Arabidopsis thaliana: one gene and its partners. The protein of the gene in region 1 interacts with the protein of each later gene in a pairwise test. Each region holds a gene or a part of one and is shown in the gene's direction. Other genes may lie near its edges. The genes, in order: NAP1;1, AT5G10400 and HON4.

Region 1 (10,873 bases):
ACCATGGAGTCTCTAGCACTTGAGGATGTCGGTTGGTTCGAAATATTCCCTGAGTTATCAAGAGCCCCTGAAACTCTCCGTCGAGATGATTCCATATGTGGTCGCCCTTCTTCCTCCCCTTGGATTCAACAATGAACAACAAACAATGTGAATAATAACTTCTTTGCAGAGAAATAAGAATTACGTTGTAAGTGATCAGGGAAATTTACCTGTGTATCTATCGATGTTGGAAATGCCCGGAGGCAATGCGGCACTAGTTCCCACAGCAGGATTCTGAAGCAGGAGAGACTCCATCAGAAAATGTCAAACCAAAAAAGATAGTTTAACCAAGAACTCAAGTTTTACTTACGAGGGCACGAGATGGGGGAGCGGTTAGTTGTGATTGTTGATATTTCAAGATTGTCCAGTCAAACACGTAATCAAACTGAAACCCTGCAACAGGGAAATGAAATCTTGTTAGAAAATATATTAGGCTTAAAAATTGAGAGGGAAGGAAATATCAAACCTTCACGGATAAAGAGATCTCGAAATATTCTTTTCAGATAAGCGTAATCTGGTTTATCATCAAACCGAAGCGACCGACAGTAGTGGAAATAGGATGCAAATTCGGATGGGTAACCACGACATAAAGCCTGCAGGTGTAAGGCGATCATATACGAATCAGAATGAGGGAAACAAAAATCTGAGTAAAAATGTAGCATACTTGTGAAATGAACTTACCTCAATGGATGTAGAAACTTTCTTTTCACTAATCCTTTCATACTTTTGCTTTTTGGTTCCAGCTTTCAGTCCTTGCCATGGAAGACTAAAACAGAGATATTCCACACATCAATCAAACTGAAGAAGTTAGGGAAATAAAGTGAAGAGAGTGTGAGGCATGTAGCATAAACTCACCTTCCTTTGAGGAAATACATAAGGATGTAACCAAGAGACTCAAGATCATCCCTTCGACTTTGTTCTTCAGGTTCGCAATGCCAGAAAACAAATAACAGCTGATGAGTATCAAACCTTATAACTCAAACACATAAGGAGAGTGACTGGAACAAATTAACATGAAGCAGGTCTTGTCGAGCTTACCAATTCCCAAGTGAGTGTTCATACTAGCATATCTCGCAGTTCCTGTCAGGTTTTTATTTTCCCTGCAAATGAGAATCATGGGAAAAATTAGCGTTTCCAGTCATCACATAACAACGGAATCATGCTCAAGGGAAGAACATTCAAGAGCTGATACAATGATCGCCTCACCTGTAGGGAATGTGCTGATGTGTTGTACTATCCCTATACTTCTTAGCAAGACCAAAGTCAATGATGTATACCTTAGAGAAGGATTAAACTTGGTCAATACAATGATGTCTCCAAAAGTAAAATAAGACCAAAAGGATATAGTTAAGACAATAAGATGATAAACCTGGTTCGCACGCCTTCCAAGGCCCATGAGGAAGTTGTCTGGCTTAAGATCTCGGTGAAGGAAAGACTTTGAATGAAAAAACTCAACACGGTTGATCTTATCACAAAAACCAAAGGAAGAAAGAAGTCAATATTTCCTGAAACATAGAGGAGCAAATGAAAGAAAGGCGTCACATGAAGAAGTATACCATTTGATCAGCAAGCATGAGGACAGACTTCAATGAAAGTTTCCTGCTACAAAAATTGAAGAGATCTTCAAGACTTGGTCCGAGTAGATCCATCACCAAAACATTATAGTCCCCTTCAACACCAAACCATTTGACATTTGGAACACCAGCTACCAAAGTTAAGGCAAAAGAAAGGTCATAAGTAACACAAACTTTACATTATCAGAAATCAATATCTCATTCAGAAGATAAGAATCATTACTTCCCCCTTGTAGAATCCTGTATAACTTCGATTCATAGAGCAGCTGTGGATGTTTTGTCTTCACATTTTCCTGGGAAAACAAAAACAAAGAGAATCAAAATCTCAGCTTTTCAACATACTGAACTTGATCAAACTAAACATATTGTGATAATGTTACTTATAAATCCATAAACTTTTTGATCATCAAATTATTAAAATGGGATGACTGAAGAACTCACAAGCTTAATAGCCAGTTCTTCATTCGTATGAATATTAGTACCTGGAAAATCACAGGTTAACAACAATGTTAGAGATAATGTGACGAATTCGATAATCCATAAAATTAAAAACTAGAAAGTGAGAGAGAGACGAACCGAGATAGATCTCTCCAAACGAACCACTACCGATCTTTCGGCCGAGACGAAACTTGTTCCCCACACGAGGTTCCATAAATAACCACGAAACCCCTTGTACAATCTTAACAACCCAGACGCAGATTCAAATAGAGCGAAAGGGACCCCAAAAACAATCCTGACTAGAATCAGCCGCACCAGCAATCCAGAAAAACAACCCAGAGATCACGAACAATGAGATTACGGATTTTTCGCCGACTAAATCAAAACCCAGTAATCATCTTCTTCGTGCTCTCGATCTGGTGAAAAAACTCCATATGAACAGAATGTCGTTTTCTGGGATGCTTCTCTCTCTCTCTCTCCTCTCAAGAATTGAATACGAAGATAAAAAAAAAAAAAAAAAAAAAGAGCTTCGATGGACAGAAAACGATGAGGATGTCTTTCTCAAAGTTTGCGTCTTTTTTTTTTTCCTCTTTCCTTGCAGTTGCGGGTAATGTAAAAAAATTATTTACCTCTGAATGATTCCGGTTTTGTTGCTGTGTGCTATGTTCGGTTTGGTTTCTATGCTTCGGTTCAACCAAACAATCTAATGATTATGGCAAGCAGAATAGTAAAATAGAAAAAATGTGTAAAACATCTATAGAACACATATGTATATACATGCTGAGCATCTTTAAATCCACAAAAATACTACTATTTGAGCCGAATCTACCAACTAAACTAAACCTGGTTTTAAAATTATCCGGTTTATTTGAGAGTTTCAACAACAAGCGCGCTTAGACCATCATTATTCATAGTTTATAAGGTTAGTTCTTAGATAAAGTAGGTCTTAAATTTAATGTTATAATTCAATTAATTGTTAAAAATGACTCTTATATAAGAGCCAAATCTAATGTTTCTTAGGTTAATTCTTAGATAAATTAGGTATTAAATATAATGTTTTAATTCAATTAATCTTAATTCTTAGATAAATTAAGTATTAAATCTAATTGTTTGTCATATTTGTTTAAAATTTTATGTTATGTATGTTTCAAATTTTTTGAGTTGTAATAATTATTAAGTTTTTTAAAATTATAATGTTTCTACTTTTTTTCCAATTTTTTTTTTAAGAACTCAAGTTAAGAGTCCACCATTGCATATTGCCAAAATTTCAATCTCTTAACTAAATTCTTAACTTCAAAATTTTCAAAATCAATTATAAAAATATTCATAAGAACTATTAAGATTATGCTAAGAAACTACTATTAATGATACTCTTATGATGGCTATATGATATAAAAAGATTGACCACTTACCAGGTGTGTTTGCTACGCGTGACTTGAAAGCTCTACAAAATGTTTCTCTTAAGTGGGAGTCGTGGAGGTACAAAAAGCTTTTCACCTTTGCTTTTAATAGGATGAATGAAATGATTTACAGTTATCTGATTAGGTTGAATTTGTCTCATGGTTTTCTGGTTAAAAAAAAATGCTACGCGTGAGGCTTCTTTATTGTGTTTCTGGTCAGACGTATAAAAGGTTGAAACTTCAAATTGAAAATGTCGTGATGAGCTAATCTAGATTAGAGTACGTTTAATTCGTTTGAACTCGGGATGAGCTTAAACCAAACTAAAGATCTTTGTGCCTTTTGGGATATGACTTTTTGTTGTGGACTGTTTTTTTGTTTTTGTTGTGGACTGTTTTTTGTTTTTAATTAGTATGTACAGTGTATGTGAACAAAAGAAGTAATCAGTGTATTGGGCTTGGAAGGCTCATTCTTGGGATGGGCCTTAGTACTAACAGATTCAGAAATCTTCTATTTGATCCCATTAAAGTTCACTAACCTGTACTGTATTTGGTGAAGAATCAAATATATATAAGTGTATATATATATATATAAGTATATAGATAATTAATATAATTACATGCAAAATTTTAATTATATAGATAATTAAAGTTTATATATTAGTTATATATATTTATAATTGATTGAATTCATAAATAAACTTTAATTATCTATATATAAGTCAGTTCTCATTATCCATATATATATGTATGTAAAGTTTTGCATGTTATTTAATTCAATAAACTTAATTTTGCTTTTTAAAACATTAAACATCAATTTTTAGAGAAAGAAAAGTATATATAAAAAGAGAAAAAACTAAAATGGCATTTGTTATAATTTTGGTGTGAAAAGGAGGGAGAGAAAAAAACAAAAAAACAAAGAGGATTTAAGGGTTACGAGTCGCCTCCCCAAAACCCTTGTCCCTAGTCTCTTCTGCTTCTTCTTCTTCAAAATCTCTCTCTTCACCAAATCCTCAGAAGATGAGCAACGACAAGGATAGCTTCAACGTCTCCGATCTTACTGCTGGTAAAATACTCCTACTCACGATTACTCTTATCTCTTTCTCCGCCTCTTAAGCCAGAGCTGCTTTAACCCTAATTTCCTCTGTTATCTGACTGGTGTTCCTTTTGTTTACTGTTTTTTTGCAGCTCTTAAGGACGAGGATCGAGCTGGCCTTGTCAATGCTCTAAAGGTGAGTTTTTTTCCCCTTCTGTAAACTGTCCCGTGAGCATTTGCTATTGAAAGATATGGAGGATGTTGAGTTACTTTCCTCTGATTGTTTAGATACTATAAGCCGTGTCTTGGTGTTTAGTGTTTTGGTTTCAATGTCATTCTTCTAGTACAATGATAGTTTATGAGTTGTTAATACATTGTTATTAATTCACAGAACAAGCTGCAGAATCTGGCTGGTCAGCGTTCTGATGTGCTCGAGAATCTGACTCCCAATGTGAGAAAGCGCGTTGATGCCTTGAGGGATATACAGGTTAGCGAAATTTCTTTCACATTTTACCAAACTATGTGTGCTATATATCGTTTAATGGGGTTTGTTTTGTTTTGTGTGAGTTTTCTCCCTGCTTATCTGAATTTAAAGTTTCAAAAGTAAGGTGTTGCGTTTTGATTACTGATGACTTCTTTCCACGCAGAGCCAACATGATGAACTAGAGGCAAAATTCCGTGAGGAGAGAGCTATTCTTGAAGCCAAGTATCAAACGCTGTATCAGCCTTTGTATGTCAAGGTAATTGTTAATGAGAAAGTTTTACAAACCATTTTACTAAACTCAATGTAGATCTGTGTATACTCTTTTTGCTTATGTTTACTTATCTGCAGCAGTGTTAGTTTTCTATGTGCATCTTAATGAATTCTACTTGGTATCTTGTAATGGCACAGCGTTATGAGATTGTGAATGGCACTACTGAAGTTGAACTGGCTCCAGAGGATGATACCAAGGTGGACCAAGGAGAGGAGAAAACTGCAGAAGGTAACTTCATGAGCACTATGTCTTCTTTGTTTGTTGTTAATCTTTTTGGAAAGACAAAAACAATTTAACATTTTTCTCTGTTTTTCATTGCAGAGAAAGGAGTTCCAAGTTTCTGGCTGACAGCTCTGAAAAATAACGATGTTATTTCCGAGGAGGTAGCCTATATGCAGTTTTGGTGTTCGTTTTATAAACACTCCAATCATAACCATGGAATATGAGCATAACTTATTGTCATTTATGTCAGGTCACAGAGCGTGATGAAGGGGCTCTCAAATATCTTAAAGATATTAAGTGGTGCAAGATTGAAGAGCCTAAAGGATTCAAACTTGAGTTTTTCTTTGACACGAATCCGTATTTTAAGAACACTGTCTTGACAAAGTCTTATCATATGATTGATGAAGATGAGCCACTGCTTGAGAAGGCTATGGGGTAACTACTTATACTCTCTTGCAATTGTTGTATACTTTTAAGTATATTCTGCTTATTAGCTGATTGCATTGAGCTGCTTATTTTTTTTCTTCGCTTATATTGCAAATGGATTCTTATTCTTTCACCATTCATTTTCAGGACAGAAATTGATTGGTATCCTGGAAAGTGTCTAACTCAGAAGATTCTCAAGAAGAAGCCTAAGAAAGGTTCAAAGAATACTAAACCAATCACCAAACTCGAAGATTGTGAAAGCTTCTTCAACTTCTTTAGTCCTCCAGAAGTTCCGGATGAAGATGAAGATATCGACGAGGAAAGAGTAAGATAACGATTGTTAGAAAAACCTGTCATCATTTAGTTAATGTATTTAGTAACTCTTTCTCGTTCTTTGATGCAGGCTGAGGATCTTCAAAACCTGATGGAACAAGATTATGACATCGGGTTCGTCTTTTTCTAAACACACTTTCTCTGTTGATTTTATGGGTTTGCTTTTGAGTCATGGGACTACTTTATCACTGCAATCAAGGTGGTTACCCTTTCATTATTATCTGATCACAAGTACTTTTTACTTTCTGCAGATCTACTATTCGGGAAAAGATTATTCCTCGTGCTGTCTCATGGTTTACTGGTGAGGCTATGGAAGCAGAGGATTTTGAAATAGATGACGATGAGGAAGATGACATTGATGAGGATGAAGATGAGGAAGACGAAGAGGATGAGGAGGACGATGATGATGAGGATGAAGAAGAAAGCAAGACCAAAAAGAAGGTATAAAGTGCCCCAAGTATAGTTGTTTCTTTTTTTTTTTTTTTTCTTCATGCCACGTTAGTTTTTTACTAATCCTTTGAAATCGCTTAATATTTTTTTTTGCAGCCATCAATCGGCAACAAGGTATGTAACCTTTCAGAACTAAAGTTTATTTGATTTTGGAACTCCAACATTCAAATAACCAAACACAAGAAGTTTCAGGCTGAGCATTGTGATGAAAATAGAAATTAATATCGGAAATGTAGGCTCTAGAGGCCCATGAATCATACAGATTGCTGAAAGTAACTGAGCAATCCTAAAAAGTATGAATCAGTAAATAGGTAGTTACGTAGAAGACTCTGAGAAGGATACATGAATGACACAGCAGAGACTAAACAAGCTCTTTAATCATGGCATGGGCAGTACGAGATAGAACCATTCTCATGAATTCATTTTATTACTATAGTAGCAAACTAGCAATCAGTGTCTATGTTTGTGATAAATGTGAGAATCATCTGCTTAATTTTTTTTTCCTCTTGGACTGCAGAAGGGAGGGAGATCTCAGATAGTTGGTGAAGGTAAACAAGATGAGAGGCCACCCGAATGCAAGCAACAGTAATCTTTTACTACGCTCTACCAGACATAAAAGGATTGCGTGAAAATATAATTCAGGTCATTCTCTGTTCATCAAGAATGAGGATTGAGAAAAGGTTTTGGGATTTTTAAAAGTGAAATTCATCTTGTAGGAGTTTCGTTCGTTTTTCTATTGGTGTGTTTATTTTCTCTAAAGCACTTTAATAATATACCTTGGTATTTAATTTATGAATCAAGCATCATCATCCCTAGTCTCTGCATTCACTACTTCATCCCCTACCTAAACTTTGTCGACGAAAGAGATTTTAATAACCATTTAGATAGTAATGGGTAGTGGGAATGATCATTATTCTTTTGTTCACCGTCCTTTGATTTTCAATGGTAACCATTTTGTTGTGTAAGACTACAAAAGATGAATAATTGGACTATGACCATATTATATTAGTCAAGTCTAAATCGGTCGAAATCAGTTCACCTTTAAGATGAGTAATTTGACTAAATGCCTCCGCTTGTTCAACACTAATTATAATTTAAATTATTGTAGAAGGAAAACACAAAGAAAGTGAGGTTCCGAACATCCACAATTTGGACTAATCACATACTACTTAAGAAGTTTAATGCATCATTAGAGCTAAATGAGGGGAAAAAAAAGCTAGCTAAATAAACTTGAGACACTTGTTTGTGTTTGGTGTTATGAAAAACAAACTCAAAAGTCGCAACACTGTTTGGTAAATTGGAGACATGCGAAGAGGGGACCGCTTCGTTACCATTCAGAGTATTTGACGTAATATATTCCGTTTTAAGAAACCTATCTAGTTTCCAAGAAATTTACTAATAAAGGTGCTTGAGAAAGACCGTTGTTGATGATACGTTTTTTTATTTGCTAATGAAACGATTCGGTCGTTGTTTCTTGAAATTCCACTGTTATTAGACTCTTGACTCTGTTTTGTTTCCCGCCGATCTCGTGATGATGGCCACCACCACCACCACCACCACCGCTAGATTCTCTGATTCATACGAGTTCAGCAACACAAGCGGCAATAGCTTCTTCGCCGCCGAGTCATCTCTTGATTATCCGACGGAATTTCTCACGCCACCGGAGGTATCAGCTCTTAAACTTCTGTCTAACTGCCTCGAGTCTGTTTTCGACTCGCCGGAGACGTTCTACAGCGATGCTAAGCTAGTTCTCGCCGGCGGCCGGGAAGTTTCTTTTCACCGTTGTATTCTTTCCGCGAGAATTCCTGTCTTCAAAAGCGCTTTAGCCACCGTGAAGGAACAAAAATCCTCCACCACCGTGAAGCTCCAGCTGAAAGAGATCGCCAGAGATTACGAAGTCGGCTTTGACTCGGTTGTGGCGGTTTTGGCGTATGTTTACAGCGGCAGAGTGAGGTCCCCGCCGAAGGGAGCTTCTGCTTGCGTAGACGACGATTGTTGCCACGTGGCTTGCCGGTCAAAGGTGGATTTCATGGTGGAGGTTCTTTATCTGTCTTTCGTTTTCCAGATTCAAGAATTAGTTACTCTGTATGAGGTAAAACACAATCCACTAAATTCTCATTGACTCATAACATCATCTTAAGTCTCCTCTGTTTTCATTTCAGAGGCAGTTCTTGGAAATTGTAGACAAAGTTGTAGTCGAAGACATCTTGGTTATATTCAAGCTTGATACTCTATGTGGTACAACATACAAGAAGCTTTTGGATAGATGCATAGAAATTATCGTGAAGTCTGATATAGAACTAGTTAGTCTTGAGAAGTCTTTACCTCAACACATTTTCAAGCAAATCATAGACATCCGCGAAGCGCTCTGTCTAGAGCCACCTAAACTAGAAAGGCATGTCAAGAACATATACAAGGCGCTAGACTCAGATGATGTTGAGCTTGTCAAGATGCTTTTGCTAGAAGGACACACCAATCTCGATGAGGCGTATGCTCTTCATTTTGCTATCGCTCACTGCGCTGTGAAGACCGCGTATGATCTCCTCGAGCTTGAGCTTGCGGATGTTAACCTTAGAAATCCGAGGGGATACACTGTGCTTCATGTTGCTGCGATGCGGAAGGAGCCGAAGTTGATAATATCTTTGTTAATGAAAGGGGCAAATATTTTAGACACAACATTGGATGGTAGAACCGCTTTAGTGATTGTAAAACGACTCACTAAAGCGGATGACTACAAAACTAGTACGGAGGACGGTACGCCTTCTCTGAAAGGCGGATTATGCATAGAGGTACTTGAGCATGAACAAAAACTAGAATATTTGTCGCCTATAGAGGCTTCACTTTCTCTTCCAGTAACTCCAGAGGAGTTGAGGATGAGGTTGCTCTATTATGAAAACCGAGGTATGCTTTCTTCCTTCACTTGAATATCGAATTTCGGGTAGGAAAATGAGTGGAACTAATGATAACGATGGTCTATACTTTTCAGTTGCACTTGCTCGACTTCTCTTTCCAGTGGAAACTGAAACTGTACAGGGTATTGCCAAATTGGAGGAAACATGCGAGTTTACAGCTTCTAGTCTCGAGCCTGATCATCACATTGGTGAAAAGCGGACATCACTAGACCTAAATATGGCGCCGTTCCAAATCCATGAGAAGCATTTGAGTAGACTAAGAGCACTTTGTAAAACCGGTATGGATTGATTCTTATATGTCATCTCTTTTCTAGCCAACAAAGAAATGATGTTTAGAACTTTATTTTGTTGTATCTTCAGTGGAACTGGGGAAACGCTACTTCAAACGATGTTCGCTTGATCACTTTATGGATACTGAGGACTTGAATCATCTTGCTAGCGTAGAAGAAGATACTCCTGAGAAACGGCTACAAAAGAAGCAAAGGTACATGGAACTACAAGAGACTCTGATGAAGACCTTTAGTGAGGACAAGGAGGAATGTGGAAAGTCTTCCACACCGAAACCAACCTCTGCGGTGAGGTCTAATAGAAAACTCTCTCACCGGCGCCTAAAAGTGGACAAACGGGATTTTTTGAAACGACCTTACGGGAACGGGGATTAAGGAATGGGAAATCATATTCCATTTCACTCCCACAACTAAAAATGATGTATGTCCTATATCATGATGTTTCGTGAGTTTCAAATAAATTGAAACGTACATATATCAGTTTTTCATCTACGTGACTGCGTTGTATAGTTTTCGTTCTTCACTTAGCATCATGTGTATTCTAGCTCCAAGTGCGTTTCAAACAAATATAGTTATTTTTAGCCAATTATATATACGGTTGTGATCAGCTTGTTCACTCAAGAGATTATTTTAGTGGTGATCTTTCATTTCCTTCTAATAAATGACGACTTTGTTCATAAAGTTTGAGTGTTAATGAGAAAAAGGCTTCATGTGTTTTAAAAATCTAAATAGCATAATGTATGTTAAACTCCTACAATTACTTTCGAGGCTGGTCATTCCTTCAGAATATCATCGGACCATTCCTCTGTTCGACCACAAAACCGAATAAGACAAAACTATATGAGACTCTCTAACTCAGAGAGAGACTCTCTAACTCAGAGATTCTCTAACTCAGAGAGAGACTCGACCCATGTGACACTCACGTGACTTTTAAATTCCCTTCCCGTGAAGTGATCCGTGAACCCCATTCTTCAAAACTTAGGACAGAGACAAAACCCTTTAAC
Region 2 (8,552 bases), on another chromosome or scaffold:
CTTCTTTCACATTATGTTAAAGTTTAGTCATATATGAGTTCTTACAATATATCTTGCCCCGATACAGCTTAGAGAATTGGTACTATAAAATACTAATGCTGATGACCGGGAACCTAGTAAATGCGAAAATTGCTGTGGACTCCTTATCAATATGGTACGTTGTTTTATTTATTTCTTATAATCGTTATGCCATATTTTTCTTGTTGTTGTTTGTGTTTTTTGTTGGAAAACTCTTATATTTTTTTTACAAAGAAATAGACGTCGTTTTTTACTGTTAACGTACTGAACTTAATTCTCTGTGCAGCATGTCGGTAAATGGTTGGGAGATGATGATTCCACTTGCCTTCTTCGCGGGAACCGGGTAAAAAAATCCTATTCGGTTGCTAAGTTTAGAGTTTTTTTTTGTTGGTATGGATGTTAAGTTTAGAGTTACGTACGTAGGGATTGGATTGATGATAGTTATCTAATATCTATCTACTCCATCAAGGACAATAACATGGCCTAATGCTACAAACTTTTTCGCACAACAATTTGCAACAATCTTGTTATCATCACAATTTCACACACTCACAGTTTTCCTTTTTCTTTAATGTATTCGTTTTAGCAAATATTAAAGTCTACATGTAATCTAAGTTCATAAACCGGGATTATATGCACACATAAACGTCTCCAACGTAGTTATTAAACAAATAATACCTATTTTGTAGAGTTCGAGTGGCAAACGAACTAGGAGCTGGTAATGGCAAAGGGGCAAGATTTGCAACGATTGTTTCAATCACACTATCGTTAATGATTGGATTATTCTTCACAGTCATCATTGTAATTTTTCACGACCAAATCGGCTCGATCTTTTCGTCAAGTGAAGCTGTCCTAAACGCAGTCGATAATCTTTCTGTTCTCTTAGCCTTCACGGTTCTTCTCAATAGTGTGCAACCAGTTCTTTCCGGTACGCCTTGAAACTGATTTCATAAACCAGGTCAACGAAAGTGCGTTGACTTTTGACATTTGATTAAGGTGTTGCTGTTGGTTCGGGTTGGCAATCGTACGTGGCATATATTAATTTGGGATGTTACTACCTTATCGGGCTTCCGTTTGGGCTTACTATGGGCTGGATTTTCAAATTTGGAGTCAAGGTTTGCCCAATTTTCCTCTCAACAAATGTCGGCATATTATTATGTCGGCAAATTATGTTTCTTTTGATGTTCATATTTGTGGAGATGAACTAACATATGTGTATGGATGATAGGGAATATGGGCCGGTATGATATTTGGAGGAACCGCAATTCAAACGTTGATATTGATTATCATCACTACAAGATGTGACTGGGACAATGAGGTAACCATTTGGAGTATATTACAAAATATCACTTTCATCTAAAATTTTAGTAAATTTTGTCATAGTTAGTACATTACTTTTTAACTTGATATAAGAATTTTTGAGTGACTGTTTACAGTGTACAATCTTAAAACATTGCAGGCACATAAATCAAGTGTGCGCATTAAAAAATGGTTGGTCTCGGACGCAGGAAACTGAAGATGCTATTTTAGTTGTCAAATAAAATTATTTTGGAGCATCCGTTTCGTAAATCTAAATCCTATTTATTGCATAAAACACATAGCTTATGGTTTCAATATCACATGATTAGTTGATTGAAATGGGCTAAACCGGAGGAGGGATTGATTTGCTTTCTTTATAAATAACAGAAAAAATAATTATGCACACTTTCACTTCATATAATTCATAAAAGGTTTATTTACATACGGAATCACTTCTTCTTTGTCTTTATGAAATAAGGATTCAAACATAATTAGAAGAAAAAAAACGAGATAACCCATTCTCAAGAGTCAAGACAAAAACCAAATTAAATCGTAAAGCTGGTATTTATGTACGTATAGTGAGAAGTCTACCATGTGTAAACCGGATCTTGCTTCACCTAACTGAACCAACCAGACCGAATTATTCGTCAATCCGTTGGAGTCGTCAAATGTTACCCATCCGGAATCCAATGTAACTTCATGTGTTAATGTCTCAGAAATCAGAATCGTCGAATGTTACCCATTCGGGTTGAACCGAACCAACCAATTCAATCATCTCCTCATCGTCCTTAACCGTAGTCTGAACCAAACCGGCCAATTCAATCATCTGCTTATTGTTTTTCTTTTCTGTTTCAGCCTTCAACATCTCAACCAAACACCAAAAATCATCCGCTAGACGTCTGCAACGCCAAAATAATCCACTCAAGCTCTCCTTGCATTCTACAAGTCTCACCAAAAGCAGACTAAAATCGTTCAGACCGAGATCACCAATAGGTTTAACACCCGGTTTAATCAATCGTTCAAACAACACCTGAAGCCGTACCATAACCAATCTCACAATCTTGAAATAGTCTTCAATCACTAGCTCTCTAATCTCGTCCACGATCTTGTTTTGGAACATAGGCGGAATCTCAGGTCTGGTACATATATGCTCAAAAAAACTCACAAGAGAATCCGTTTGTCTTATAATATACCCGGTTTGGTAAGACGAAACACGATCTTTCTCTTCAACTTTATCTTTTGGATTCACCAACAAATTTGGAAAAGATCCTAATACCTTCGGAACCCACGAGAGACGATCCAAGTATTGTCCATACCTAAGTTACATTTTTTTTTTAAAAATGTCGGTATGAACATGTCCAAATTATTAGATAAATATCACAATCAAAAAAGAGAACTAAAAAATCTTTTTAAAAGAAGAAGTAAATTACCATCTAATCCACTGAGACAATTCTAGCGTGAGATTAGAAGATTTGTCTGAAAACTCGTTCAACTTTAGATTGTTTCGACCATGACCTAGTCCTTCAAACTTGTCTCTTGATGATTTGATAAGCTTGTGGATGACGATGAGAGACTTGGTGGCCACAATAGCGTTCTTCGTGACACGTAACCTCCACAGAGCCGCTGAGAAAGCCGCCGGAGCGTAACGGCTGTTGGAGTAAGAGATAACAGCGGAGACATAGTCACTGTTTGGTGGTTTGTTAGGAGTACGAGTTGTTGACTTCAAGAGGGCTAAGTGAATGTATTTGACGGCGGTGGACCCGAAACTATGAACCAATCTTGCTTTGCCTATCGAAGCTTTGTCTTTGAATTTTCCGATTATGTGAGTTTTGAGTCCTGGCATTATCTCGATGGAACTAGATGAAAAAAAAATTGAAGCTGTTTTGCTTTGTGAGGTTGGAATTTGATTTTTATAAGCGTCCAATGTTTGATTCGCTTTCCATTTTCTTATAGTTTCCTTTTAAATCTTTTTTATATACGTGAGTTTCCTTTTGCAATCATTCAAAATTAACATTATTTTTTTGGTCGACATCCAAATTTGATTAATTTTACTTTTCTCAACTATTAATTTGGTAATATATCTTTTCATTCTAAAGTCGTCGTTCATTCATTTTATAAAACTTATATTAAACATGACGAGTTCATATTCAACCTCATAAGACCAATAAAATGTTGTTATTTGTTAAATAAAATGTTGATAGGAATGTTATAGAATAAGTCTGGCAACTACTTTGTTATTTCTATTACATATATAGTTTATTTGTATTGACTATTGACTTTACACCAATGTTTTTTTTATTTGTATTGTAAATGAATAAGTTTACCAATGTTATATTTAACGAATAGGTTTACCAGTATTGTCATTTATCTAGTATCTAATTAAAGATTAGAAAAGTCAATACAAATTAACTATATAAGTAATAGTAATAACAACCACACTGCAGCCACCAGCAAATTCCATTAACAAAATAAAGATCTCGAAAATTTGAACACCAATTTACGATTTTTTAACGTCAACATGAATGATATATTCATAAAAATGTGTTGAGAACAAATTTGGTCAAGTCAAGCTTTAGATCCGTAAGAATAATTGATTCATGGCTTCTTCCGCATAAACACATAAATCAAATTGTATATGTGAATTTCGGCATTGACAATTTTGGTAACATATGACGTGGATGCTGAGAAAGTAATTCTTATTGGTTATTAACACAGGACGCGGATCGTAAAGATACAAACATTTCTAACCGTTGATAAGCCAAACAGATCTAACGGACAAAACACAATCACTTCCTCTCTACCTTTGAGTATAAAAAAGCCTCACAACATCACTCACTTTCCCATCGATCGCATTCTCACCGAATCAAATCCAAAAGAGCAAATTTACAATCTTGCGAACTCCTAAAATGGCTCGTACCAAGCAAACAGCTCGTAAATCCACCGGAGGAAAGGCACCAAGGAAGCAACTCGCGACCAAAGCTGCGAGGAAATCAGCTCCAGCCACCGGAGGAGTGAAGAAGCCACACAGATTCCGTCCAGGAACGGTGGCGTTGAGAGAAATCAGGAAGTATCAGAAGAGTACTGAGCTTTTGATCCGTAAGCTTCCGTTCCAGAGATTGGTTCGTGAGATTGCTCAAGATTTCAAGACGGATCTGAGGTTCCAGAGCAGTGCCGTCGCAGCTCTTCAGGAAGCAGCTGAGGCTTATCTTGTTGGGCTCTTTGAAGATACTAATCTCTGTGCGATTCATGCTAAGAGGGTTACGATTATGCCTAAGGATATCCAGCTTGCGAGGAGAATCAGAGGAGAGAGGGCTTAAGTGAACGAAGATGATGAAGATTAAGAAGACTAGTCGTTTAGTTATGGATTAGCTTGTTTGGTTTCAATGGATATGTAAAGCTGTCTCTTTTCGTTTTCGAGTGTTATTAGTTTTTTACTTAGATGTGTCTTCCAGATGTTCGATGAAATGCCTAAAGGAAATTTTAATCTACTGTTGTCTAATCTTTTGATTCGTTCTGTCGATCTCCATATTTCTGCCACGCTTAAGAATCGTTTATCAACGGAAGAGTTAATTTTTTGCTCGATGAAATTGTCCAAATTGATTTGCAATAGTAGCTGCTTAGGGATTCTCAGTCTTCTTCTCCATGAACAAAACATTCTACAAATTCTTATTTAGAACTAAATCATTCACTAAACGTAAGAAAAGTATCGGTTCTTTACAAAATCAAAGTGAGAATTCGCAGATTGTTCTATTCCTGGTTATACCATCACAGTAAGAAATCCTCCAAATTATTTTACTTAATGCGTAGATTTGCTGAATAAGAGTAATGTAATTTCTCGAAATTTGTAACTTCAGGCTAAATTTGTTATGTAAATTTTGAAATAATTTCATCCTTATTTTCTACGATTGAATTTTTTTGAGACCCTTCATAGCCAAAATTTTCGATTTGGCGCCTAAAATTAAAAGATTTGGAAGTAGCGCAAAAGCCTACGTGGACTGAAAAGGATGATTTAAATTGGTTGATAGTAAATGACACGGATGGCCGGAATTTTAGTCTATTTTAATTCGTTGATAAGGTCTCACACGGATTTATACCTGATGATCTCAGCCGTTGATTGAAATATTTAATCCAACGGACAAGAATACAACTTTCCCTCCAAAAACAAAACTCCCTCCCATGTTTTTTTCACCTCACCGCCAAATTTCTCTCCCCATAAAAGCAGTCCCTCTTCTGCGTTGATCTTCACTACAAAATTTCTCATTCGCATCCTCCACAAGAAGAAAATTCGATCGGTCGATTAGTCTTTGTTTGATTTCGAAATGGCTCGTACTAAGCAAACCGCGAGGAAATCCACAGGAGGCAAAGCACCAAGAAAGCAACTCGCAACCAAGGCGGCAAGGAAATCTGCTCCGGCCACCGGAGGAGTGAAGAAGCCGCATAGATTCCGTCCAGGAACTGTTGCCTTGAGAGAGATCAGGAAGTATCAGAAGAGCACTGAGCTTCTGATCCGTAAGCTTCCTTTCCAGCGTCTGGTTCGTGAGATAGCTCAGGATTTCAAGACGGATCTGAGGTTTCAGAGCAGTGCTGTTGCTGCTTTACAAGAGGCTGCTGAGGCTTACCTTGTTGGTTTGTTTGAAGACACTAATCTTTGCGCCATTCACGCTAAGAGGGTCACCATCATGCCTAAGGATATCCAGCTCGCGAGGAGAATCAGAGGAGAAAGAGCTTGAAGACTGTTGTTATGGTTTATATCTTTTGATTTAGTTCGTCAATGGAACTCTATTTCTGGATTTTGATTTGCGTTTTAGTAGTAATGGGTTCTTGTAAGTGTTGAGCTTTGGCTCGTTTTAATTTTCAGTTGTTAGGTACTTTGGTTTAGTTAGCCTTGAAGTGTTCGATGAAATACCCCAACGAAACTCTCTCCTGTTTAATAGAACTTATTTTCCTTAATTTCTTTGGTTTTGCTGCTCGTTGATCATATAATATTGAAACATTGAAAGTTTCGATTTATTTCAGATACTGTATATAACACACTAGATATTACATTAAGCTTCAATGTAGTTACACCAATTAACTGGTGTTACCAGTTACGGATGGCATTTGGTTTTGTGGAATCGGTTGTTCGTTCCTTACTCTTCTTGATGATGAGAACAAGTTAGCACTGAAGCTGGTATAGAACTGTCTTCCACTTCTAGTAGCATTGTTAATACCATCGCAAAGTGATAAGCTTCCTCCAATTGAAAACGATCTTCTCACGTTTTCTACTCTTCCTGAGCCACAGTAGTTTGCCAAATCACTTTGTGCCCTTGGAAGAAAAATGTTATGGTTTCTTCTAGATCTGGAACTGTCTTGTCTTCCACGGAGGTCATTGCTCGATTCAGAATCTGGTTGATGATTCGTCTCTGTTTCTTGATGAGGTGGTTCAGTGATAAGAAGTACAGGGGCACGACATAAAGGACAGTTCTTGTGAGAGAGCAACCAAGTGTCGATGCAATTTAGATGAAAGGCATGGCTACACTTTGGTAACAGTCTCAGCGACTCGTCTTCTTCAAACTCGTTTAAGCAGACAGAGCATTCTGTGCCGTCGATTATCCCTTCTCCCTTTTTGAATCCAACGACTGTGATCGAGTTGATCGCGGAACGGTGGAGACCGACGGTTGGGATTTGCCAAACGTGATGAAAGTCGGAGAAATCTCTCTCCTCTGTTTCGTCCTCATCTTCCTGTTGGTTTGTGTCACCGGGAGTTACGCTGGCGGCTGAAATCCGCCGTTGTTGCGTGATGTGGAGGTAGAGGAAGAAGACTAGAAATAGAAAGAGTATGATTGAGCCGACGACGCAGATCGAGGTGGGGAGTAGGAGAGAGAGCTCCCTCGGTGGCGGTGGTGGTGGTGGCGGGGGAGGGTATTGCCGGAAACAAAAGCGTAAATCTTTAAACTGTAGACATGAAAGAAGCATTTTTCTGTGATTAAACGCCATTGTAGGAGTTCAGAGACGACATAAACAGAGCAAAAACAGAGGACTTTACTTTCAGACACAACTAGTAGAAAACAGAACAAGAACAGGGGAAAATGGGTATGACACACAATTCCAAGTTTTTGCTTCTGATGAAAGCAAAAAGAAATAGGACACTAAAACCCACAAAATGGGTTAGAATCTAGACAAGAGTCATGACCCAAAAAATCTTCGTGAGGAAATAAGTGGGTACACAGCCACACACATCACAATCTACAAGACTAGGAATTAGAGAGGATTTGTCCTTTTTAAGGGTTGGAAAGTGGGTGGAAATTTCCTGAAAGTGATAACGCCATTAAAGGCGATGTCTCTGTATGTTAGGAAGTAGTTTCCTTTCAACTTAGTAAACTCTCTGTAGACATTTACGCGTAATCAGTCATGTAGCGAGTCAAGTAAGTCTTTCATTTACAACAATCTTAATTTATTTGGCATCCGGTTTAGATTATGATCGGTTTTTTCAGTTGGTTAAAGAAGGTATAACTACCGAACTACACTATCTTCACATATGTACACATTAAGCATACCAGATGTTACAGAATATAGATACATAGGTCCGGTCTAGTCGGGCTGGGCAACGGGGTCCTCTGGGACACCTTACTCGACTAATCCGATTCCACCATGAATTGTCCTTAAATGGGCATAACAAGGTTCTTCTTGAGTGAAGACGTCTAAGCAGGTCCAACAAATGTGCTTTCCACACCGGCACTTCATATGGTTACACCCATCAGTCTTCTCTATCGTCGACTTGCAAATCGGACACTCCTTTACGTTCTTCCCTTTTGCCCAGTCCTTTAGCGACAAGTCCGGATTTTCCTTGAACTTTTTGTACCTTTCACAAGTGATTAACGGGTGATACTCGAGGTGACACCTTGTGCATATTTCTGAGTGACATGCTCCACAGATGAATGGCTCACCAGATTCTTGAGGTCCAGCTACACGGTAGACGGAAGGGCAATCAGGTGTGGAGCAAAACCTGAACTTTCCATCACTGGATGTTACAAAAGAGGACAAGGATGCGCTGAAGAGTTCATCGAGCTTCTCTTGTGATAAGAGGGCTCTCATATCAGCGAGTACTATTGGAGCTCCACAGTCTATGTGAGAACAAAGTATTGGGAATGCGTCAAAGTTTCTCATCGATGCCTCAAATTGCTCCAACAAACAAGCTTTGCAGAAGAGGTGTGAACATCCTTCAAGAGAGTAGCCATCATCAACTTCAGACAAGC
Region 3 (10,741 bases), on another chromosome or scaffold:
AACAGTAAGAGATTAGTGTACCTCTCTGTAGATCAATTCTCTCACATCTTCTTTTGTTATCTTCCTTCTTTCAAACTCAAACTCGAGTTTCGGAATCGGTTGAGTAGATGGTTCCCGATCAACGTTTGCCAGACCATAGAAGTAAGGATCTGCCAGTGCCTGTATATACACACACACATGTATATATAATGTTTCCTTTTCTGAGAGCGATTGAAACTGCTCTGAAATTTTGAAGTGGAAACGCTAGAAAAAACAAGTATAGAGGAGCTAACCTCTTCAGCTGAGGGACGGTCTTTGGGATCAAATGCAAGAAGACGGTGCAGTAAGCGAAGGGCCAATGGGTCTACATGAGGAAATTTGTGAGTGAATGGAACTGGCGGTTTTCTCCTCATATTGCCGAGATATCTCCTCGCCTTTTCATTACGAATCTGCAACAACACAAAACACTGATCATCATTACAGGAAATAGAAATCTGATACAATCAATCCTGGTCTAGTAATGATATAACAGTAGTATTCCCATACCTCTGTGGGACACATACCTAAGTGAGTTTTCCTACCAATTAATATGAATCCAACCAAAGCTAGCATAAACTACTTGCCACATAACTGTGGCCGGAAAGTACTAGTAAGCAAATAGTCATGGTTTATAAAACTTTTAATTCATAAGTCATAAGACATCACAGAAATTCTAGCATGCAAGTTTTAGCAAACAGAAATAGATAACTCTACCAACTAACCCTTGCAATAGCTTCGGGAGGAGGAGTACCAAGCAAATCAGTCATAATATCCAATTGGTGCACCACATTCTTCCCAGGAAACAATGGCTTCCCAGTGAGCATTTCTGCAAATATGCATCCTATGCTCCATATATCAATGGCAGGAGTATACTGCAGCAAAGAAAGCAATAATCCGTTTTAACCTCAGGTTGTGGTGTCATAATATGTGAATCAGACAACTTTTGCAAAAAAGAAAATAGAGAATTGCATTTTACTTTGGAGAAGAAAGAGCCACAAAGTTCTGGCGCACGGTACCATCTTGTAGCAACATAGTCCTGCAAAGAAGCGAAAACCATTTGATCACAACACTTAATGCATCAGAGAATATAGAAAAAAAGAAACTTATGATTTCATTGAGTAGCATACAGTCCAGAATATAGCCGAAGGTGCATCATTAAAGGACACTCGAGCAAGCCCAAAGTCGCAAATCTTCAACTTGCAATCAGAGTTGGCTAGAATATTTTTAGGCTTCAAATCACGATGAAACACATTAGCTGTATCGAATAAAAAAGTTTTCCATCAGATTGAGTTTGAAAAGCAGTAATGGACAAAAGGAAACACGAATTTCTCAAGCCAAGGCACTCGCCTGTGTGTATGAACTTCAGACCACGAAGAAGCTGGTAGAGGAAAAACTGGTAGTGCTCAGGTGTAAGATCATCGTTCGCCTTGATAACTTGGTGAAGATCTGATTCCATCAACTCGAAAACAACATAAATGTCTCTGAACTCACGGCGTGAAGGAGGAAGCATTACATGCTTTATCTCCACTATATCAGGATGGCGGAGCAACCTGAGAAGCTTGATCTCTCTTAGAATCCGCGTTGCATCAGAGACGTGCTCAAACACATCATTGATTTTCTTAATGGCAACCTTTTCGCCTGAATGTGTGTCGATTGCAGATGCCACAACACCGTAACTTCCTTTCCCTATAACTTCTTGGATTTGGTATCGGCTAGCTTCACCGTATTCTGTAAAGAACTCAGTCTCCAGTGCAACCTAAAATAGTAGCATTATATACCAAAACAGATTTTAGATAGAAAGATATGAAAACTGAGAAGAATTTTGCCTAGTTCTCCAAACTCTACAGATCATATGTATCTTCTAGACTTTATAAGGTACCATAGATTCAGGGTGAGACTATACGGAATCATAAACCAGTTAAGAGCCGATGCAAAGGAAACATAATCAAGAAGAAACCAAATGAACAATGTAGCATTTCTACTACTTCTAAAAAAAAATTCAGATCACGTATATAAGGTAAGTTGCCACAGAGTAAGATAATTCCAGAGGGCATAAAGCCGAGGCGAAAAATGCAAAATCATGAACATGAAGCAACCAAATCCACATAAAAGATCCAAATGATCAGAGATGGCTTTGCATTTTCCACCATTTCCCAAGCAAATAAACACCAGAAATTTTGGATAAGAATCACAAAAAGTGTTGACCTTTTCAATCTAATAACTAAAACCCAGTAATTAAACAATGATTTGCTACAGTTCCCCGTCCAATGTAGTTGGAGAAATTAAACAGAAACTCATAATCACAAAAGGCAACAAAACCTACGAGGTCCAAAAATCAATTCTAAATCTGGAGAAATCAAACAGATAAATGAAACGACAGATCCATATGAGCAAGCAATACCCAAAACGTTTACATAGAGAACAAAAACGAACCTTTTTATGAGGATCCATGAGAATATAATTCCTTCTAGAAACCCTAATGCAGTTCAAACCAGACAAATCAAAATCTCTAACAAGGGAGAAACTTTTCGCTTCTTCTTCTGCTCTTTTCTCTTTTCCTCCTTCTTCTTCCTCTTCTTCTTCTTCTTCTTCTTCTTCCTCTTCTTCCTGATTTCTGTAAATAGTTGTGAGCTGAGACCGTAAATTACTAACAGATAAGCGATCACTTGATGAAGCAGAGTGACGAGAGCTGGTGCTGTTACTGTTGGTCAGAGGATGATTAGAAGCATTCCGAGAATGAGGATGATTATTAACGTTGGTGCTGTGACTAGCACCCATCAAACACCTCCACCACCACTTTTAAACTAATTTTAATTTAATTATCATCGATTGACAATAACAATTATTATTAGTAAATAATAATGATTTTCACGTCGTCGACGCACGAATCTCTCAGGTATGGCGTGCTTCTCTCTTTCTAATTCGACTCTCCATTACTATTATTTTTTGTTGGCTGGTTTGGTTCTCTTGTCCGAAGGATGCGGAAGATAGAAGAAGAAGAAGAAGAAGAAGATGAAAGGTGGGTTTGGCACGTGCGACTCACGTGAAGCGTGTGTTTCTCTTTTTCTTAAAGGGCATGTTTGACTATTTACATTGCTTTTTTTTTAATTAACTTCATTCACATGGCTTTATAACACCTAAAAACACCGCAGATGAATTTAACTTGCGTCCGTGACATAACCAGATTAGGAAAAATTAGGCTAACAAAATTAACAAATCGTATAACTATTTTTTGATAAGGACAGTATATAATATTGAAATTCAAAAAGCGTGTTTGAGAAAAAGAAAATAAAAATGGTGGTGGTGGGTAGGGCCAATAGCCTAATAATAAAAGAAGGTTATGTTTGAGATAATTGTAAGATGCCAGCAAATGTCTGCTCTGTAACTCTTCTAATGCACGTCTCCGGTCGTGTGTGACTCGAGAGGACCCAACCAAATATGCAAAAACATTTAAATAAAAAACATAAACAAATCATTTCAAATTCGAGAGAAAAATAAAAGGGTCTTAAAACTGTTAATTATGCAACAGATAGGCCCATGTAATGTTGAGGTCCATCACATAAGTAAACATTATATTGAAGGCTGATAATTCGGCCCGTTAAAAGTGTTGTTTATAAGAGGTTGTGTGTACTGTGTAGTGTGACATATCAGAGGCGACAAAACATATCATAATCTTTTGTTTTGTTGGAATTCTGGTGTGGTGATCGTCTTTTGTCATCTGCTTACTTGGTGTCTGGTGATTGTGTCTTCTGATCGTCTATTACCAGCCGCACTTTGTTTGACCCTTGCTTGAAAGTATTCGAGCACACGCATGCACACATCACAACACAGATATATTAGTATTAAAAGAATGAGCATACATAAATTGTTGTATGAAAACGACACGACTCAGGTGATACTTGGAGTTTGAATGATGAGCATATATCGGGTTTTACTTGCGCTTAATGCATAAGCATAAACGTACTGTACTCTTTATAATATCGTATTGTAATGTCAGTAATATGTACCAACAATTCTCTTGTTGGATGATTCTTTTTGGGTACCGTGATGTATGGGCTGGCTTTACCAAGGAGATAGGTGTGACACTTGTTCCCCCATAGATTTATCAATTGTTCTTAGTCCCATTGATTTTATTTGAGATTTGCTACTTCAAAATTCAAATGGTGAAATCTATCCAACTACCCTTTTGAATCCACACATATAATACACAAAAGTTCATTAAACAATATTAAAATGTCAAATGAAAAAAAAAGTTCTTCTAAAAAAAAAAAAAAAACATTAACTATATGTAAAACCACTAAATATCTTTAAAATTATCGCTCACTTTGTATCCTTTACATTACCCGTTAAAAATGCTTGTTTGTTATAAATTTTGCATTAAACAATTATAAATTCTAGTTTTTCATATTTTAAATTTTCTTAAATTCATCGTTCACTATTTATCATTTTTATTATAATGTTTAAATAAATAACGCTTCTTTGTACAAAACAAATTAAAATTTGCAATCAATACTTACTAATTGCATGTTTTTCCATATTTTGAAAATTTTAAAACTTATCTTTCATCATTTAATATTTCAATTATTCTTTTAAATATATCACGCTTATTTGTGATACAAGACAAAAGAAAAATGTATTTAGCACTTGGTAAATATATTTTTCCATATTTTATTTTTTTCATAAAGTTATCTTTCATCATCTATAATAAGAGGTTTACATTTATTTGTTATTTTTGTTTTACGTCGTACATTTATATATATATATATAGATATATATATATATATATATCAAATATTTTGTTAAAATGCAACTAAAGTTAAAATTTAATTCAAATGTAAATATCATACATTACTGTTTAAAAATATTTTAATGTCTTGTAATTTTTCCTTAATGAAAAACATATTTGATGTATCATTTTGTGATTAAGTTAAAGGGTCGCAAATAGATATATACTCTAACAAAATTCACAGAAAATATAAATTTGAAACTAAATTTTATGTAAATGTATCGATTTCAAATCCTAAACAGAGGACATAGAAGTTAGTAATTGCATTTGTTTTGCCATACTCATCTCAATACATCTCTTACTTATCATACACTCTTTAATGGAGTTTGTTACATGGGTTACTTAATGTAACAGTGTTTGCTATATACTTCATTCGATGTTATTCTAAAATCAACAAAATTGTTTTACACTGAAAGCGAGGAGTTCTTTTCAGAAAAATAATTTAAAATTTTGGCGGTCCATTTTTAAAATTTTGGTGATTTTTTATTACATTGGAGCGAAAATGTAGCAAAATTCTAAGAGGCAAAAATGAAAAAAATCAAAGTAAAGAAACACAAAATCCTTAAAATAAAAGACAAAATGATATGACACGTCATCGATCCTCGTCAAAACCGTCGATAGAAAACAAATCAACGGTTAGATTTAATAGTAATCTTTCTTCTCATCCTTTCGTCTCTACTCCTCCGCCTCTCTCTCCCCAACCTAACTTTATTTATTTCTCTCACAAAAATTTTATTTTCACAAAAACAAAAAAATCAAAAGAGCTCTCAGAGCAAAAAACAAAAAAAAAGAAAAAAAAACCCTAAATCTAAATCTCACCTTCCACCTCTGTCTTTTTTTTTTTTGTTCTTTTTTTTTTTTTTACTGTATCTTCTCTTCTCTTTGCTCTGCAAAAATCTCACATCCATGGATCCATCTCTTGGTGATCCTCATCATCCTCCTCAGTTCACCCCTTTTCCTCATTTTCCCACCTCCAATCATCATCCTTTAGGACCAAATCCGTACAATAACCATGTCGTCTTCCAACCGCAGCCGCAAACGCAAACGCAAATCCCGCAACCGCAGATGTTTCAGTTATCTCCACATGTTTCAATGCCCCACCCTCCTTACTCCGAAGTAAGTTCAATCTTAAAAGCCTCTTCCTTTATAACTAAATTCAGTTACTTTTTTTTTTGTTACTAATTTTTTTTTTCTGTGTGTAGATGATTTGCGCTGCGATTGCGGCGTTAAACGAACCGGATGGTTCGAGCAAGATGGCAATTTCGAGATACATCGAGAGATGTTACACCGGTTTAACTTCTGCTCATGCTGCTTTGTTGACTCACCATCTCAAGACTTTGAAGACCAGTGGTGTTCTTTCTATGGTTAAGAAATCTTACAAAATTGCTGGTTCTTCTACTCCTCCTGCTAGTGTAGCTGTTGCTGCTGCTGCCGCCGCTCAAGGTCTCGATGTTCCCAGATCTGAGATTCTCCATTCAAGTAACAACGATCCCATGGCTTCTGGCTCTGCTTCTCAGCCTCTGAAACGAGGTCGTGGTCGTCCTCCTAAGCCTAAACCTGAATCTCAACCACAACCACTACAGCAACTTCCACCGACCAATCAAGTCCAGGCTAACGGACAGCCAATCTGGGAACAGCAGCAAGTTCAATCACCTGTTCCGGTTCCGACTCCGGTTACAGAGTCGGCGAAGAGAGGACCTGGTCGTCCAAGGAAGAACGGTTCTGCTGCTCCTGCTACTGCACCAATCGTTCAAGCTTCGGTTATGGCTGGAATTATGAAACGTAGAGGTAGACCACCGGGTCGTCGAGCTGCTGGGAGACAGAGGAAGCCCAAATCCGTTTCTTCTACTGCCTCTGTGTATCCTTATGTTGCTAATGGTGCTAGACGCAGAGGAAGGCCTAGGAGAGTTGTTGACCCTAGCAGTATTGTTAGTGTTGCTCCAGTAGGTGGTGAAAATGTGGCAGCGGTTGCGCCAGGGATGAAGCGTGGACGTGGACGACCACCTAAGATTGGTGGTGTTATCAGTAGGCTTATTATGAAGCCTAAGAGAGGACGAGGACGTCCTGTAGGTAGACCCAGAAAGGTAAATTTTCACATCCCCCAATTCTGTATTCGTGATCTCGATTTTGCAATATCTGACGTTTACTGTGCATGATTGTTCACTGCTCCGCCGTCAATTTAGATTGATAAAGTTTGATACTTGTGTTGCAATCATTGTGGAATTCAAACTCAATGTCACTTTCCGCTTTTGAGCATTGTTGTCTGTTTTCGCGTATCCAAAATCTGACTAGTATCTAGTGTTTTTATTATATTTTCGTGTCCCTTACTTTTGGCTTATCCTTATCTGGTTTCTCTGTTTTATTTTAATTTTCGTTTGGATAATTAAGACCAAAATAGTCGGTAATGTATCGCTATAGCTAGGAATAATTTTATCATCAATTAGTGTGTTAATCCGGCTTAATGGTTTCTAAGTCATCACATAGTGTCTTCTTCTCTGTATCTTCTATTTTACTAGTAACGTGTTCAATTGGATCTAAAGTAAGACTTCTTAATTTAACCATTAATGTCTTTCTTGAATATGTTATACTTTTATCCAACAATTTTATTTTTTGGTTCATGAACCTAGATTGGAACATCAGTCACGACTGGGACACAAGATTCTGGAGAACTCAAGAAGAAGTTTGATATTTTTGTAAGTCTACTTGTTGACAATAAACAGTTTGGCTGTCCTTTATTTGATTAAAGTATTCGATTCTACTTGCTTATGTTTGGTTTTTGTATGTAAATGATTTCAGCAAGAGAAAGTGAAAGAAATTGTGAAGGTGTTGAAGGATGGAGTTACAAGTGAGAATCAAGCAGTGGTGCAAGCCATAAAAGATCTGGAAGCACTAACAGTGACGGAGACCGTTGAGCCACAAGTTATGGAAGAAGTGCAGCCAGAGGAGACTGCAGCACCACAGACTGAAGCTCAACAAACTGAAGCTGCTGAGACACAAGGAGGACAAGAAGAAGGACAAGAAAGAGAAGGAGAAACACAGACCCAGACAGAAGCAGAGGCAATGCAAGAAGCTCTGTTCTGAAGAATAATAATGATCTAGAAAACAACCTAGACATAATAGCCTTGGTGTTTGGCGTTAGGAGTGTTTTTTTTTAGTTGTTTTAGGTGTTGGAATCGCATCTTAAATTATATAAAAATCTATAAGGAATTTTAATTTTTCTAGGTTTTGTTGTCTGCAGAAGAAGAAATAGTAGACTCGTTAATGGTGTTGTTGTCGGTGTGTCTTTAACCAAACCATAAGACGTGGCTGTAAATTAGCGATGTTTCTAGTCTTCCATCTTTAATAATCTCTTATTGCGTCTGTGCCTTTGTTTTTTTCAATCTGTCTTCTGCTCTCTGCTTCCGCTTTGCACATTGTGGAGATGTTTTCGTGTCTATTTTCCACCCAACGGTTTTAGCAGGTCGACTCTTACTTAATTTCTTACTAATAATATCTTCATTTCCATCTCACGTTGGCTCAAAAAGCTATATAACTTTGACTCGAAAACATGTTAGAGTTAACACAACAGTCGAACTCAGAATCGAAATTGCAGTCCAAACGAAGTAAATATAAAATGAAATATATCGATATTCACAGCCCATACGACCGAGGCCTAAAAAAGAGTGAGTCAATGGCCCATTTGACCAGCAACTAAAATGATTGTCCTCTCGGGCCTCTCTCTTTCTCTTCCCTCTAAAACATTTTGATATTCTCTTCGACCAGATCAATTTTTCGGTTAGGGTTCTTCGCCGAACCATTGGCTACTTTGCTAGATCTCTGAAGGTGTAAAAGAGCTATGGAGAATGGGAAAAGAGACAGACAAGACATGGAAGTGAATACCACACCGAGGAAGCCTCGTGTACTACTCGCTGCAAGTGGAAGCGTCGCTGCTATCAAATTCGGCAATCTCTGCCATTGCTTCACCGAATGGGCAGAAGTCAGAGCCGTCGTTACGAAATCATCTCTACATTTCCTCGATAAACTCTCTCTCCCACAAGAAGTGACTCTGTATACTGATGAAGATGAATGGTCTAGCTGGAACAAGATCGGTGATCCTGTCCTTCACATCGAGCTTAGACGTTGGGCTGATGTTTTAGTCATTGCTCCTTTGTCTGCTAACACCTTAGGCAAGGTAATTTAACAAATCGACGAAAACCCTAAACCAACTACTTAGATTCAATTGTGTGACTTGTGAAAACATTCATGGAGGATTCAATTCATACAATATATTTTTGTTGTACCTTTGTAGATTGCTGGTGGGCTTTGTGATAATCTTCTGACTTGCATTATACGAGCTTGGGACTATACCAAACCACTGTTTGTTGCTCCAGCTATGAATACTTTGATGTGGAACAATCCTTTCACTGAAAGGCATCTTTTGTCTCTTGATGAACTGGGAATCACACTTATTCCTCCTATCAAGAAGAGACTTGCCTGTGGAGACTACGGTAATGGAGCTATGGCTGAGCCCTCTCTTATCTATTCCACTGTCAGACTCTTCTGGGAGTCTCAGGCTCATCAGCAAACCGGTGGAACTAGTTAAAACCATGATTTCCACAACATGCATTTTGTGGAAAATCATCTGTTTTCACTATCTTAGATAATAGTAGATTTTATCAGTCTGTTTGCTTTTCTTGTACATCTCAAAATAGCTGTCTGGATTGATGTATCTGGAGGACCATTTGCACTACTAGCTCCACTCTGTTTCTGTAGAAATGTCTATGTTTCTTTTCCTCGCTCTTAAATGTTGTCTTCAATTCTGCTAATAGCTCACTGAACTTTTGAATTTGCCAGCAAAAATTTCACAGAGAAACAAACAAGCCCACTTTTTTACGTTTACCAGTGATCGTGATATCAAAATGCAAGATCCTTGAGCCCCAAAACATGAATTTTATTGCTTTTGAAACAGTCTATCCTGAGGTTGCAGGGTTTGAAATTAACTCTCTTTCCACAGTTAGATCCATAGAATCATGTAGTTTATCGAGTATCCGCCATGTAACAGCATCAGGAGCCTGACCGTTCTTCCTCATCTCCTCCAAAATCTGGTACGCTTCTCTCTTTAACCCACTTCTGCTACACTCAGCAATCACAGTATTATAGCACACAACATTAGGGATTGCTCCAGAATCTGCCAGGTCATATAGGAAATGGCAAGCATCACTTAGATAACCAGACTGACAAAGCCCTTTCAGAAATGCTGCATACACAAACGCATCATGTCTGCCTGATGGCCATATCACATCATCCCAGAACTTCTTCGCCATATCCACCTTATTAGTCACACACAACCCGTCAATGATTATTGCATATGTAGTGCTATCCGCAGTCACACTCGCCTTTTCCAGCTGACCAAACACAGACATAGCTTCATCTCCCTTGTGGAGCTTGAACAACCCACGTATAACAGCATTGTATGCAACAACACCTGGCTTAATCTTGTTCTCCGGCATAACGCGATTCAACACATCCAGAGCTTCTTCTGCTCTTCCTTGAGCGAGCAAGCCACACATAACAGTATTTAAAGTCACAGCATCTGGTGCACAGAACTTCCCTGTCATCATATCATCAAGAACTTTCATGGCATCGTCCACCCTGCCCATCTTGCATAATCCATTAATAACTGTGTTAAGTGTATACTCATCAGGCCTGCAGTCTCCCTGAAGCATACTGACCAGTACGTTCAGGATCTCAGTCGGGTTATCCATCACGCAGAGACCGCGTAGATAAATATTATAGATTCGAGTTCTATCTGCTCCTTCTTTTCTCAACATCAGCTCTAGAACATTCCTGGCTTTACCCGTGTCCAGTTCCTTGCATAGACTCTCCATTAGGAGCTTATAAGTATACTCAGACGGAAAAAACTCAAATTCAGATCCCTCTTCTAGCAACTGATAAGCC

What was found.
Region 2: the proteins of NAP1;1 (region 1) and AT5G10400 interact in a protein complementation assay, tested with the Arabidopsis thaliana proteins (one study listed by BioGRID).
Region 3: the proteins of NAP1;1 (region 1) and HON4 interact in a two-hybrid assay, tested with the Arabidopsis thaliana proteins (one study listed by BioGRID).

Annotation. Positions count from the first base shown.
Region 1 is NC_003075.7:13,228,244-13,239,116, forward strand, and holds NAP1;1 (nucleosome assembly protein1;1), read left to right. Parts: upstream 1-4,324; 5' UTR 4,325-4,468; coding exon 4,469-4,514; intron 4,515-4,636; coding exon 4,637-4,680; intron 4,681-4,875; coding exon 4,876-4,971; intron 4,972-5,131; coding exon 5,132-5,224; intron 5,225-5,376; coding exon 5,377-5,467; intron 5,468-5,560; coding exon 5,561-5,622; intron 5,623-5,711; coding exon 5,712-5,896; intron 5,897-6,034; coding exon 6,035-6,212; intron 6,213-6,290; coding exon 6,291-6,334; intron 6,335-6,471; coding exon 6,472-6,661; intron 6,662-6,766; coding exon 6,767-6,784; coding exon of another isoform or gene 6,785-6,817; exon of another isoform or gene 6,818-7,187; coding exon 7,188-7,259; 3' UTR 7,260-7,665; downstream 7,666-10,873. Other genes in the region: CK1 (casein kinase 1), read right to left, coding at 3-118, 210-273, 350-432, 506-632, 721-805, 895-958, 1,078-1,139, 1,246-1,316 and 5 more; AT4G26120 (Ankyrin repeat family protein / BTB/POZ domain-containing protein), read left to right, coding at 8,202-8,762, 8,833-9,571, 9,657-9,860, 9,943-10,244. UniProt on the Arabidopsis thaliana protein: May modulate chromatin structure by regulation of nucleosome assembly/disassembly. Contributes to the regulation of cell proliferation and cell expansion. May function in nucleotide excision repair (NER). Involved in somatic homologous recombination.
Region 2 is NC_003076.8:3,266,560-3,275,111, reverse strand, and holds AT5G10400 (Histone superfamily protein), read left to right. Parts: upstream 1-4,154; 5' UTR 4,155-4,223; coding exon 4,224-4,634; 3' UTR 4,635-4,940; downstream 4,941-8,552. Other genes in the region: AT5G10420 (MATE efflux family protein), read left to right, coding at 68-154, 305-361, 708-946, 1,015-1,133, 1,247-1,336, 1,478-1,534; AT5G10410 (ENTH/ANTH/VHS superfamily protein), read right to left, coding at 2,030-2,633, 2,748-3,160; AT5G10390 (Histone superfamily protein), read left to right, coding at 5,637-6,047; RING1 (RING/U-box superfamily protein), read right to left, coding at 6,388-7,293; AT5G10370 (helicase domain-containing protein / IBR domain-containing protein / zinc finger protein-like protein), read right to left, coding at 7,924-8,552. UniProt on the Arabidopsis thaliana protein: Core component of nucleosome. Nucleosomes wrap and compact DNA into chromatin, limiting DNA accessibility to the cellular machineries which require DNA as a template.
Region 3 is NC_003074.8:6,166,528-6,177,268, reverse strand, and holds HON4 (winged-helix DNA-binding transcription factor family protein), read left to right. Parts: upstream 1-5,263; 5' UTR 5,264-5,710; coding exon 5,711-5,920; intron 5,921-6,006; coding exon 6,007-6,888; coding exon of another isoform or gene 6,889-6,960; exon of another isoform or gene 6,961-7,343; intron 7,344-7,431; coding exon 7,432-7,497; intron 7,498-7,600; coding exon 7,601-7,885; 3' UTR 7,886-8,306; downstream 8,307-10,741. Other genes in the region: MPK9 (MAP kinase 9), read right to left, coding at 22-159, 273-428, 741-890, 995-1,054, 1,146-1,273, 1,366-1,774, 2,452-2,796; HAL3A (HAL3-like protein A), read left to right, coding at 8,640-8,975, 9,093-9,386; AT3G18020 (Pentatricopeptide repeat (PPR) superfamily protein), read right to left, coding at 9,754-10,741.